Lytechinus pictus: one gene and its partner. The protein of the gene in region 1 purifies or fractionates together with the protein of each later gene. This does not show direct contact. Links are inferred from orthologs where the notes say so. Each region holds a gene or a part of one and is shown in the gene's direction. Other genes may lie near its edges.

What was found. Proteins that work in one complex are often made in the same cells at the same time.
Region 2: the proteins of syntaxin-5-like (region 1) and Golgi SNAP receptor complex member 1-like purify together in Homo sapiens (affinity purification with western blotting; 3 studies listed by BioGRID, with this or other methods). This does not show direct contact. The link is inferred for Lytechinus pictus from reciprocal best matches to the Homo sapiens genes STX5 and GOSR1.

The regions. Positions count from the first base shown.
Region 1 is NC_087251.1:41,209,390-41,216,572, forward strand, and holds the start of syntaxin-5-like, read left to right. Parts: upstream 1-4,171; 5' UTR 4,172-4,830; intron 4,831-5,926; 5' UTR 5,927-5,951; coding exon 5,952-6,173; intron 6,174-6,714; coding exon 6,715-6,785; intron 6,786-7,183. Other genes in the region: methionine synthase-like, read right to left, coding at 1,251-1,311. UniProt on the Homo sapiens protein: Mediates endoplasmic reticulum to Golgi transport.
Region 2 is NC_087246.1:8,978,984-8,986,225, reverse strand, and holds the start of Golgi SNAP receptor complex member 1-like, read left to right. Parts: upstream 1-4,235; 5' UTR 4,236-4,250; coding exon 4,251-4,335; intron 4,336-7,242. Other genes in the region: DNA oxidative demethylase ALKBH2-like, read right to left, coding at 1,188-1,494, 1,820-1,962, 2,663-3,019. UniProt on the Homo sapiens protein: Involved in transport from the ER to the Golgi apparatus as well as in intra-Golgi transport. It belongs to a super-family of proteins called t-SNAREs or soluble NSF (N-ethylmaleimide-sensitive factor) attachment protein receptor.

The DNA.
Region 1 (7,183 bases):
ATTCCAACACGCGATCAATTTGGTTAAAACGTAAACTTAATTGCCGGTTCAAGTTCTGCGGATTTTCTCAGGGGTACATTAGTCATCATTAATAATAGCCAGGTCAAGATGGCATCAAATTCTGCAAATAAAGGAAAGGTGCATGCTGAAAATCGTGCTTTCCATAAAGAATGGACAGACAAGTATGCTTTCATTTTGCCGCAATCGAGTACAAGGCCAATGTGTTGGCCAATCTACTTTGACAAAAAAAAATATTGATAGGCCTACTACAAAACATTATCTGTCTCTTAAATTCCAGGTATGTGTTAAAATTGACGTATAGGTACAATCTACATTCCTTTTAACAAAGTACAACAATTTTGTTGTCTATATTGACTCTTGCTGTATTTTGAAATCTTTTCTGATATTGCCTGTGTTCCATATGAAACCGTAATTATTTTTTGGATTAAATTCTCCCAAAAATAAGGGCCAGATTGCCCCAGATAGCATCTAGGACCCCGGCCGCAAGGGTCTTCGCGCTTCGCGCACATTTTTTTCCAAAAAATCCACTCACCCTGGCCCTTTCAGGTTTATTTCGAGTCTCATCTGGCCCTTCAAAGAAAAAGTTTGAGAACCCCTGGTCTAGGGTAATAGTATGCAGCGCTTAGAAACATTTGTATTAAGCGCTATATAAATGTTGCATATCATTATTATTATTATCCCTTTTACATGATTTAGGCAAGATCTTTTAGATGGAAAGTAGACTAGAAATCTCGGGGGCAAAAATTTCTGTTTCTTTCACGGTACACGCACATAAATGGGACGCAATTCCTGGCTCCGTGGAGAGTAAGCACATGTTAGTAAATGAGTTTTACACTCTAACGTTAGGAGCCTCCTGCTTGGCTAGCTACACACACCCAACACCTTCTCTATCCACTCATTCAATGAACAAGGTTATGATATAAATAATGTCTCTATCTAACTTCTAAGACAGGTTGTGTGTACTGACGATCAATTTTAGAAAGTCATTTGGAAAAATTTACAAGCGAAGTTTCATCAATTTTTAGTACAAAATGTTAGGAAATATTATAGAGACAAAATAGAAGATGATTATAACTATTAAATTCATATTTTTAGTGTAATCCAAAGACAAACAAGAAGGCTTCAAAAATATAAAGTAGGCCTATCCGAACACCCGACCCTCGGCCCTCCATCCATGATCCTATTCCTAAAGTAAAAAAAAGAGTTAGGCCTAACTTGACTTTGTTTACCTCCTTGTCCTTGAACATGTTCATGGCCTTGACCTTGTGCTTGTGACAGTGTTGGCGGCATGTCTCACAAGCTGATGACAATTCAAACCAGATATTATAAGATATATTAGCAATCGAATTTTGTTCTCTGTTGGCATTGGAGACGAAACAGACAGAGCTGGTGCTGTACTTCGTATCGAAACCTTTCTTCAACCGCGCCGGGTCTGTCGGGTTGGTATTCGTAAGCGCGATGGTTCAGCGCTGCCGCGAGTTCAAGAAGAGACTGATTGCGAAAGATGTCACGTCTATGCAATATGCCCTATGTACGTCGAGCCGGACAAATCGTCCTACATAAGAATCGCCGTAACAAAAATACTCCCAGCTCAGATCGACCCGACCCATATATACTTCAGTTGCTGCCTCATGAAAAACTTATATTTCACTTAACTATATTCAAAATACTTCTCAGATCCGTGACTTCAAATTTGGATTTATAAAGAAAGGAACAGTAAAATTAAAGAAGGCTAGCTGGCGCCGGATTTTCTGAATCAATCGAAAATCAAACAAGCATATAAAAAATTCAATCAAAATCTGGGGCCCGTTTCATAAAGAGTTACAATATTGTTTTAACTTTGCCATTATGGCAACTACCATGGCAACAGGGCTCAGCAGCCAATAAAAATCAAGGTTACCATGGTAGTTACCATAATGGCAAAGTTGCAACTCTTTATAAAACGTGCCCCAGGTGTAAAATAAGAAAGTCATAGCTATAGGTAAATGGATTCAGGTTTTGGCAAGGGGGAGGAGCATATAAGCAGCCAGCGGCGACGAGTATAGTCTGCAGCACATACTTTGATCAACAATCTCTCCACGCATCGACGAGCACATAAACTTGCTGTGGCAATAGGCTTCCAGTACACGTCATGAATATAGGCTGCACATTCTGACCCTTATTCTAGTGAAGCTATAGGGTTGGCACAGCAGACTAAGCCTGCATGCAGTGGTGGCGGCGCCTTTAAAAAAAAACGTAATTATCACACCCGTAAAATCATCGCGGGACTGCCGATTCCGGCGTGACAGTGTGTCGTCTAAAATGCAATATTATTTGGTTTGGTGGAGACAAAAAGGGCGGAGACTCCGGCTTACACTCCCATAGGCCTATTGTGCTCCATGAGGATAAGTATGACTGTGTCCACCAACAACATTTGGCATTTTTGGGGCATATAGTTTATTGACCATCAGTGCAATAACTATATATTTTGCCCATTCTAAAGTAAATTCATAGACGGATCCAGGGGGCGAGGGGCCCGCCCCCCCCCCCCCCCCGCTGGTGGAGCAAAAAAAAGATTTTAAAAAAGGGGGGAAAGACAAAAAAGAGTAGGGAAAAATAGCAGAAAAAAGAGAAGGAAGACGAGTGAATAAAACAAAATGAGGAGAAGACTTGGAAAATAAACAAAATCTTTCATGTTATGATTTATGAACATAAACAAAATTTTGAGTGGCTGTCGCAAAAGGAACTCTTCCCTCAGAGAGGAATCTTTCATTTCACTTCGCGCTTGAATTGCCTGTTTTGGTTATGGGGTGATTATATATTTTGCTCAATATACAAAACATATTTCAGTTCGAAATCGAACTTTCATTATTTTGTTTGATTTACGAATTAATTTTAAAAAGTGCTTTGTAAACATGTTAGTTTTAAGGTCAATATTAACATTTGATTTGTCAGGTAGGCCCTATTATTTTCGTGTATTCCATAAAGTTCTCAAAATATCCATATTCACGGTCGACATATCAGCTACCGATGCACGCTCTCATTTTGATTGGTGAGTTATGTATAGGCCTCAATATTCTGAACTATATTTCCTACTAGGAAGATCATGATTTACAAAACATGGACAGAGTGTCCCGTTTCTAGGTCTAAAATCTGAATTTTCTTCAGCTCGCGCTTCGCGCTAGTATCATTGTTTAGTTACATTCCTATCCCTTTCATGATTACAAAAAGTGCCTACCGTTGGCGGATGGCACAGCCCGCCGGCCCGTGCCCCCCCCCCCCCCCATGGAAGGCACAATTGAATTTTGTAATGTAAAGATGCCGTTAAGACAGAAGTGTGCCCCACCCCCTTTGAAATTGAAGACTTTTTTTCTGCTTGTCAAATTATTTTGTGGACGAAATACCCTTATTAATAAAACCCTTTTTTTTGCTTGTCAAAGTTTTCCTGTAAAAAATGTGCCCCCTTTCGAAAGATCCTGGATCCGCCCCTGCTTAGAATGACCATTATTTTAGGTCGGAATGACAACAATTTTCAGCTTGCGCATCGCGCATGTTACAATATTTATCGTCTTCATGGCTATAACTCGGGGGCTAACTGCAAACAGTTCTTATCAGGCCGGAACGTTTATTCAAAATTTCTGATCGCGCTTGGCCGCGCGTTCGCAGTAATTATCTAGTTATATACATACGCATCTTGTTCGCAGGATCACAAACATTGCCCAGAATGTTAAAATTTCAGGACCAAATAGGCCTACATGAAAGTTCAAAAACAAAAATTAGATCGCGCTTCACGTCCGCTCGCACTTTTTAAATAGGGCTTATGAGATTAGTTTTATAACAATATAGCTAAGAAGTGACAAAAATCAACTCGGCCGATCGGGAAAAATCGGGGGAAATATGGGTGAAAATGATTTCGGGCCCCACCCCCTACTGGCGAAAGCTTGATCCGCCCCTGTGACAAATCAGTATGCACGGACACTTTCAGTGCCCCACCCCCGATTAAAAAGCAGGGACTCCCAGTGTCCCCCCAGGAAAAGAAATCCTATAACTACGCCACTGACATCGAATTATTGATTAAGGGTTATATTGTCTCTTTGGAAATAGTAGGGTCAATGATTGAAGAAAATTTTGGTAGCTTTGGATAAAAAGAAATGGAGGTAGAGGCCACATAGGCCTACTTTTCGTTTAGATCGAACGATGTATATTGAGTAAAGAGAGTTTGATGAGGACGAGTTATTAGGGAGTCTCCGTACTATCCCATGGTACACTAGCAGCTTGCTACGTCAACTAACTCGACACTGCATACCCACTACCTAGCTATGCATGCACTCAGCTCAGCCAGCCGGTGCGGCCACTACCACTATACCGTACACAGACAGACTGTGCGTAATTACCGGTGGCAAGTTGTGATGATTCAACGAAGCAAGATGTTTGTAGATCTATCCTTCTAACGGTTATATTATAGTTGATAGATTGTGGCACGAGAGTCGCATCTGCATTTATTGACAAAGTTATTTTTCCTCAGATTTCGTCTGTCACAGAATTGTTCAAGAAAAGAGGAGGCTTAATCAATAGTCATCAATTCAGAGCTGGTCTTTCGTGAATGACATTTCGTCATGAATGATGTGTGAAAAAACTAACTAACATCGTCATTGAACAAGAGTCTTGAGTCAAGGAAAGAGACGTTAATTTAACAACATTGAGTAAAGGTGGTTGGTGGTTTGATGCGATTGAGTTTCTGAAGAACTTCTTGATTGTTATCTTTAAGCAGACATCTGTTTCGTTACCGAGTCTGAGCTGAAACTTTGGAGAAATTGTGTAATGTAACGTGTAAGTTTAAGTTAACGTTTAACTTAATAACTGTACTCTGTAGTCAGACCAAAGGCTCCACTTTGACTTATTAGTATAGTAATATTAATGGGGATGATAGTAGAATGTCAGAAATTGGTAAAGAATCCCCAGAAACAACAGTTATTCCTGTCCAGTAAAGCACCAACTGTGCCAGCTAACAGACGGAAAGAGTTCCTCAGTCTTGCGACACTCCGACTGGCGACATCGCGACAGCCACCCAAAATAACGAGATTGTCGCGACTTCCGGTCCATTCACTTCTTGTTCCTCCATCATGTTTTTTTTTAAAGAAACACTAAAAAAAAAACGATAGAGGAACAGGAAGTGAATGAACCGGATGTCTCGACAATCTGATATTTTGGGTGGCTGCCTGTTGCAAGAGGAACTCTTTCCCAGTTGGGTCCTTTCTGATGGCCCCGTTCTTCGCAAAATTTAAATATTTTGGTCACTTGAAAATGGTATCCTATTAATTATTGCCTAACATGTTTTCTCTGGGAAAAGTTGTAAAATTTACAAAATCACTGATCATCTATTTTGTTGTTTTGAGAAAATAAGGGCCTTGAAAATATGACCCTTTTTCATCTATGTCACATGAGTTGCCTATACACATCCACACCTGAATAATTAATGATTAGATGAGTGGGCTTCATTTGTAAGGATTTGTAATGTTATTGTTTAGTTTCTCTGGGCAGTTTTCGATGTGTAGAATCTAGACATTTCATTCCTGTTTTTTTTTTTGGGGGGGGTCCACATTTTGTGCTCTTTTCAAGAATGATTACCAGTCAAAATATTTCTATTTTGGGGGGCTTTTTACATCCTGCCTAAATCTGCATTTAATAGATCAGCTTTAAAATAGTGAATGGGGATTTTCTAGGGTTTTTTTTTTATTTCCAGAGCTCTTTTGGGGCAAAATCTGAGCTCCAGTATAATTTTTCTCCCTGATTTACATTTTGATACCCCCCCCCCTTGCCAGTTATCTTGATGCAAATACTTCTTTATTCAGAATTCAATCTTTCAAGGGCAATCAATTAGAGTTATTGAGTTGCGATATCACCAGTTGCATTGTCTGTCTTCCAGATCTTGGCAATGCCATACACCACCAATGTACAATAGACGTCGACACCCTTCAACTGAAGAAAACATTAGTGAGAGCAGCAGGTTTTCCGGTAACAGTGGGTACCACCAACGCAGCGGTTGGACGGTCACTACTCACATTCCACCAGAGACTCTTTCCACGGCAGGAGGAGTAGATACTGGCGATATGACTTGCCGAGATCGCACCCAGGAGTTCCTCTCCACCATCAAGTCCATGCAGTCAAGACAAGTAAGTATCTGGAGAGGGGGGGGGGTAAACTTTTCATTATTCATACACGTGCCACTTTCACTTTCAGAAATCTAAAATTATTAGACAATGTGTAACATTCCATTTTATTTGATGACATCACAATGTACATCACATGTTAGTCATATTTCATAATTGTTTGAATCATGTAAAGGATATGTTGGGTCAGTTCTTAATGAAATTGTGAACATACAATTTTTTTTTCTTTGGGTATCAGAAATGGGAATATTAAAAATCTTTCATGTTATATTAACTAAATACATGTAACTGATAACTTGAATGCTTAGATCAAATACAGCTTTACTATTTTAACTGTTATGCAGTGTATATAAACCTTCGTTAAATTCTTCTTAGATCATTTGTTAAAAAATATTTGTAGTGCTTGTCCCTCTTATCTTATAAAACTTTTATTAGAGGTTTAGTCTTTTTACACATGTTAAACTTTCTTTTGAAAGTGTACCCAAGTCTTGAAATAGAAATGATAAAAGAGAAGAAACAATAATAAGACATGTTTATTTTGCAGGGCAATGGAGTGACAGCTAACAAACTGAATGGAAAGCCACAACAATACACAGATTTCATGAGAATTGCAAAGTAAGTTTCTAGGCATTAAAGGGAAATCCCCCCCCCCAAAAAAAAAAAAAAAAATGTTTTTAGAAGAAAAAGGAATATCAGACAAGTAGATAGGCAAAAGTTTAAACAATATTGGACAAACAGTAAGAAAGCTATGAATTTTTTAAAAGTTGTAAAAATTGGTAATCACTTATACCCTTGGAGAATTCAAATTAGCCGTATGGTGATGTCATACTGGTGTAAGGCAAGGAGTACTTTTCCATTTACTCCAATACACAAAATGGCTTTAATTTTTTTTTCGAAGGTTTTACTCTAAATTATATTTTCCTTATGAGGACATTAAAACAATTGATTACCTTGGTTGTATTCTGATTACTGCCCTAGGGCAATTGATAAAACCACACATCCGTGATAATATT
Region 2 (7,242 bases), on another chromosome or scaffold:
ACTACATATTGATCAATAAGATTGCGTGTTGCATATCACGTACGCATCAGGCTACATTTAAGTGTGACTCTCATACTTAAATCTTTGTGAAACACCCCCCTGGACATGTATCACAAAGTTTTAAATCTGAATAAAAGTCATGCCTAAGTTGCCAAATTGCACATGATAGTAAATCTGTAATGATATTTGATCAATATGCGATTGCACCCATCCCCTCAGCATGATATGACTGAGACTGCGGCAGTAATATGTTATAAGACACTCAACTGGAATTTAAATGTGATTTCGTAATAAGACTTGAATCATTTTGATAAATTGCCCTAGGGCAGTTAAGAATTTGTATTGATATATGAAAATCATGTGTATTCATAAGTTACATGAAAGGTAACTACTGTGCAAACAAAGTAAATATGGTGTCCAATACATAGTATTTGAACAATCCTTTATTAATTTGAAAGTTACAATCAGACCATTATGTTTAGTTGGTCATGACATCAAGTTCTAGCAGTTAGTACATTACACTGTAATCATATTTTGGCTTTTATCAGACAATGGAGTGCTTTGTCAATTCACCTACATTTTAGGATTAAATCTACTCTTGTTATGTGTATATCTCAGTAAGATGGGAGTTAGGGAGGGAGCACAATGTTTTGTGGATCCTCTTTCCCTATATCTAGTCCCACCTGATGAAAAAAGTGTAGCCACCTTCCTTTAAAAGAAAAAAAAAATACTCATGAGGACATAATCAGGATTTGTTTTGGATGTATGTCTCTAGATGTAATTAACAATTTGAAATGTTGACTTCTAGATTTTTTTTATACAACATCATTATTCAAAATTAATCAATTATCCAAGGTCAGAAATTACTTTTTGATATTCACTGTCCAACAATAAGGTCTTGTGTGCTGATAAATGTATCTGAAGATGAAGTGAACTCTGGTTCTAGTCTTCTACCTTATTCTAAACGAACACTGTGTATACAAAACACAATCTTCTTAGTGATATCAAGCATTATCTTTTGGCAAACAATCTACCAAAACTGGAATGGAATGGAAGATCGATTATATTTTTTGAATATGTCATTGTAACAGAAGATTCTAATTGGGCAATTAAATCTTAGTGGTAAGAAGACAAACATACAAAATCACTTTGGCTGTAACCTATTTCCCAAAAAGTCCTCTCACTGGTCACTTCTTGACAGTTACAATATCTCTGAATGTCATATTAACTCTGGTATTCAAAGCTTTCTTCCTGACAGGCAGCGAATGGTACCAGTAAACATTAGTAGGATAATTCATCATGAGTAAACTCCCATGTTCTAGCTCCACTTTGACTGGTGGTATCTTTCGTTTGGCCTGAGATCCTCGGGCCTCACAGTGCCTGAAGATGAAGTCACGGTTCTGTCCAAGAGACAGGGACGCTATAGGACTAGTTGAAACCAAGTCTTTCTCGTCATCCCGATGTTCACCCATGTAGTTATTTCCATCGGCATACCTAGATGTAGACAATATGACAGAAATTAGTGTCTTGGTCAAATGTTTGAGATATTTTTAAACTAATTTTTCATATATAAATGATGTATTACAATCTGCCTACCAAGTCAACTATTCCTGTTAAATGGTAGATGAAATGATAGAAAATAAAAATGGCTACATACCATATAAAAGTGGGAGAGAAGACAGAGAGGGGAGAGGGTGTGACTTTAGTACACTGAACAATGTTAATAATAAGACAAAATAAAGAGATAGAAGTAGGGAGAGACATACACAGGGAGAGAGAGAAAAATACAATTATAATTAAGAATTGAATCAAACCTTACCTGTTGATGAGAACAAAGTTAAATTTGAACCCTGTAACCTCTTGAATCCTATCCCTAATTTCTAATAACAGTGGTATCCATGGTTTAGCTGGAACAGTCACTCCAGAATATTTGTATGTTACACCTGCATCACCATGTGCTACCTGCACAGATTCAGAATAAAAGCGAATATTCTGAATTGATCAACTTAATTTTTAATAATTAGCACCCAAAGCAAAGCTTTCAAGTAGATTATGGAGAAACAAACTCTTGTCAGGGGACAATGACTGAGTCTTTCTAAGTAAAAGAACACCCACAAAAACTGAACTTCTTATTTTACTTTTTAATAGGCAGTCATCACTGTATGACAATATGTTCCACTACAGGCACTACTGCTGCTTTGGTTTTAAATGAATAATGCTAAAACATGCCTCCTAATTTGTGTAATGTAAAAGGCTACAATGCATACCAGATCATTGCATGTGAGGGGTGAGGGGGGAAAAAGATGTTCTAAGTTGAGAACACATTAACATCTTTGGAATGTAAGAATATATCACCACATGGAAAAAAAATCATTGTATCAGAAAATGAGCAGGCAACATAGAAAAACAAGATAATTATAGGGTTAGAAAATGATTGATAAATAGGACAAAACTGAACATCACTCTTTTCCATTGATACTGTAATATAAATTTAATGAAAACTTTTTATATCATTTTTGAAATTGAATTGATCACAGGTTCACAACTTGTTCAAACATTTTCTTGTATATTGATAATTGGTTTATAACAGAATGCAAACTAGACGTTCAGCTATTTAAAAGGTATTAAAGTCATATGATAAAGGCTAACTTTTAAAACTTACCTGTTTTCTTGGAATATCATGCCACTTTCCATAAACTTTAATCCTTGCAAGATCACCCGTAAAATAATCTAGAGACTCCTCGCAACGTTGGAACAGAATATCTGCCTCTTTCTTTGAATACAGATGCAAGTAATCACAGTCAAGATTCTCTCGGGATATTTTTTTCTTTTGTGGGATATGCTGGAGCATCCTAAGATCTATTTCTGAAGATTCAGTCTTGCTATCAATTCTCAACCGTTTAGATGTAGGTTCGTTCTTTTCATCCTTTTCTCCATCATGATCATGTTGGCTACCTGAAGCCAATCCTATCTCTGCAGGTTTCTTGACTTTCTTTTTTCTGGTGATATACTTATCCATAATTTATAATCTGAGCTGTGTCAATTCAACTCAGCATATTGCCAGCCTCTTGTTTCCTGTGGGAGGGAAAAAAGAAATTAGATCTCTGCCTGTCATATTCTATATTGGACATCTTGAGTAAGCAAAGAGGGTAGGCAACTTGGGGTATTATAATTATATGCATGATGGAAACTGTCACAATGCAAAGAACTGATCTGTGTAGATGCAGAGCAGAAATATTAAACCATGCTAAGTAATATTTTGATCTGATAGCCTACAAGTACAACTCGAACTTTATATCTAGACCAATATTTTCTGCTTCTGTTTATATTCGTTCCAATCCAAATCTAATGTTGGACTGACTTGTCCCGGGTTGGAGTGATATCACCATTGAAATGAATGAAATATAGACAGGACAGCTCGACAGCAGGATGTTGTACTATAATGTAGTCTTTTTAAGACTTAAGTCATGTAAGTTAAGTCTGGGCCCTGAGGGGTAGCCGAGCAAAGTTAATTATTTGAGAGTACAATCCAAATAGTCTATCTTTCTTCTCAAATTCTCAAACAGTGTGCATATATCTCTAGTCTAATGAAGCTCGCTCCTCAAAATTCTCAGTGACTAAACCATAAGCTGTTTCCACTTTCCAGTTCCACTCACTTCCATATTGGAGCATAACAACTATTATGCAATAAACATTGTTTTCTGAATATACTAACGAAATATTTCGGCAAGAAAGATTTAGATATATTTACGAGTGAGCACATCATTATTTTATTTAAATAAAAATATTTGATTCAAAACACATAATGAAAAAATCATTTTTAATGCATAATATTAAAACAAATTATTTAAGGAGAAAATAATTCGAACCATATGATAATTTCAAAACTATTGATTTTTTTTTAAATATTGCCTTGCAAGATTGGCAAAACGATTCACTCCTGCGCGAATTAAATAGTGCCGATATCTTCATTGTTTATGTTGACTGAGCTTCCACGTAGTCGAACGGTGACGATTTTGATATTCAATTTTTCTAATTTTCAGCCAAATTGAACTGCAAGTATTTACTGTACGTATTATCCTTGGATTGAGTAAGAGGAAAATGCGAAACATGTCTCAAGGAAATCAATGGGAAGGTGAGAAATTAAACATGTACGACTCGGATACGATAACAAGTCGAAGTGAGTCGACGAACGAAGGTGGTGCTGCCCGTGTTGGTGTGTAACAGTTGAGTCTTGAGATAGTCATGTCATGACAGTGGTGTGTGACGGAGGCTCCGCTAGCGCTGCCGTCGTGGCGCGTGCGTGGCCGGCCGTAGCCAGGCGGCTTCTTGAGAGTAAAAATCATTTACTAACGTAGGCTTACTCTAAATGAAGCCAGGGAGTCCTCCCTATTCACCTACACGAAGGACCCCAAATTTTGCCCAAAACCTGAAACTTTCACCCCCGAGATTTCTACTTTCCTTAACTAAAATATCTAGCTCTAAATCATGTTGTTGGGATAAAACTTCATTTCCGACATTTCTACGCTCTCGTTGTTATTTTTAAACAAGAATTCATTAAAAAAATGAGAAAAACATTGTGAAAAAACGGAAGAGACTTGCCCGATGTTTACGCCGCCATCTTGTTTCTTATTGTACTTCCCCAACGTTACGGACGCGAGCGTCGCGTTTTTTTTTTTTTTTTTTTTTTTTTACAAAATATTCACAAGTAAAGTATACAAAACCAATTCAACGAAATAGTTACCACATTGACGGGTGACGGCAAGATTGTAAATTATGATATAAAATCATTGACGAAAATGTGAAGTAGTTCATGGAGTTTCGCCGGTATCGCGATCCAAAAATTCTATTCCGATCGATGAATGCAAGCTGTGCTGGGAAACCGTTCTGAAAAAAGTATGACCTCACTTAGCGGACCAAAGTTTTTGTGGAGATTCAAACAAAAAATCAAGCTCAAAAAGGTAGAATTTTATATCAGATTGACGACAAAATGCTAAAAGAATCAGTGAGTTCCACATTGATTGAACTCACATTTTTATGATATCTGCTTGCAAAATGATATCATGAATTCATGATGCTTGTTGAGGATATCAGATTTCTTCGGAACGGGCGCTAACGGTGACAAATTTCCCAATCTTTTCATGAATACTCAACTTATCCTAACAAAACTTACGCCAAAGGGTAATTTTAGGTCGCTTTTTATGTTGATGATGTCAGATTTTAAGGATATCGGCTAGTCTTTGAGATAATGACCTTCCGCGAAGTATGGCCATACTATCATCCCCCGGGGGGCCAGTCAAATATATTACTGTACACACGCGTGACCAAAAAACGCGTTAAAGGAGAATGAAACCCAAAATTGAATACCACATAATATCATTGATAAGTACATGCCAATCAAAATGAATCCACTTATACCCCAATCTGATTTCCCAGTATCGAGTACCACCTCTTCAAAGTTGGGCTTCTTCAGGTTCGAAGTCTCTGAATGGAGATCGCCATTGTTGTGGGGTTTGTTCAAAATTGTGACGTCAGCGACGTACAACTGCTCTCGGTAGTATCGGTACTTCCATGTGCATAACGCATAGCTAGCTATACAGGCTGAAACTGCCCCCAAGTTTGCATAATATAGATACTTTTTTTACCAGAAATAAATAAAATATACACATAAAACACTTAGAAATAATATTAAAAAGCTATTTAAATTATTTTATGGATTAAAAACACAAATTGATGAGTTTTGATGAAAATTTTTACAAATTTATTCACGATATCCAAATTGGCAAATTTGACAAAGCTAAATTTGTACGTACTGTCCGGACCGTCATGTACCCTGAACCGAGTGATCGTGTTATGTTGGAAGTTTGGTTATTTATCCCGTTTGAATATCGGGAAATTGTTGTGTTATATTTCTATATATCTAACGTTGTTTATTATTTGTTACCGTCGATTTTAAATAAAACAAAACATATCGCGGACGTTTGTATTGAAAAGGATGGCCGAGAGCCTACGACTTCGAGCCACAAATAGATCTACTCGGCCGAAGAAATCGCTCAACGAGCAGAGCTAACTTAGAGGTATTATAGAGTAGAGCCTAGAGGCACGTTGGCGCACGGTCAGCAGCAGCCACCCAATTTTTATTTAGGGAGATTTCTGGCCTCAGCTTCTGCGGATCGTGAATTAGGTAAAAGCTAGATGCATTTTGTCCCCTTTTCTGACCGATTTCAGCAGCCATACGCTTGGCAGTATACCATCCTGATCAGCATTGTTTTACGCCAGCAATCACAGGCGCTCGCCGGGGTTGGACACTGAGGTGTACGTCGCTGACGTCACAACCCCCCACGGAGATATGGGGAGTATGAGCAAAATGGCGACCTCCACGGGTCTTTCGAATATCAAAATATTGATAACTTTGAGTTGGCATATCATGGGAAATAGGAAACCGTTCTGCCTCATTTTAATTTTATTTTAATTAGTGAAGTGTAATTGGCTTATGACCAGATAATAAATCTATCCTTTCATTTTCCTTTTAATAAGGGTATCGAATACACCAATTTTCAAGAAAAAGGGTTGTTTGAAAGACTGGTCAATGGTAAATCACGGGTTCAAACGTATTTAGGGTATACATGTTTTTTTCCCCAAAGCTTTTTCCCCGAGGTCATATTTTGGCGACAACTTGTTTAGGGGCCAAAAATGTGTAAATAAAGCTCGCGAAAAACTTGTTTAGGGGGTTATTTTGCACACAGAGAAAAACTCGTTTAGGGGGTGTTTGAAAATTCCTTGGTCACGCGTGTGTACAGCAATATATTTGACTGGCCCCCCTGGTATCATCCCCATTCACCGACGGTAACGGTAGTCCGTTAGTGCAAGCCTCCATGTACGTTAATCATCATGATCATGTCGCCCAATTCGGGCCTACTAGATCTAGAATCTAGTGTTAGGTCTAGATTTTTTTTTTTTAGGTCTAGATCTAAATGACATATCTTGAACGATGGCCCACTATTTTCGTTAGACTCTAATCTTTCTTTATACTGCGCATATTCCAAGAAAATGTAAGTAGGTCAACCTTTTTGTAATTTCTGACATTCCAGAAATCTCAATTGTTCGAACTATTCGATTGTTTACTCTGGTGAACGATCAAATGGCAAAAGGGTATTCGTCCCTTACTCCTATTTTCTTCTTACAACCCTTAAAGCTTCTCTGTAAAATGAAGAAAAGATGTATCCTTGCCTCGATCAATAC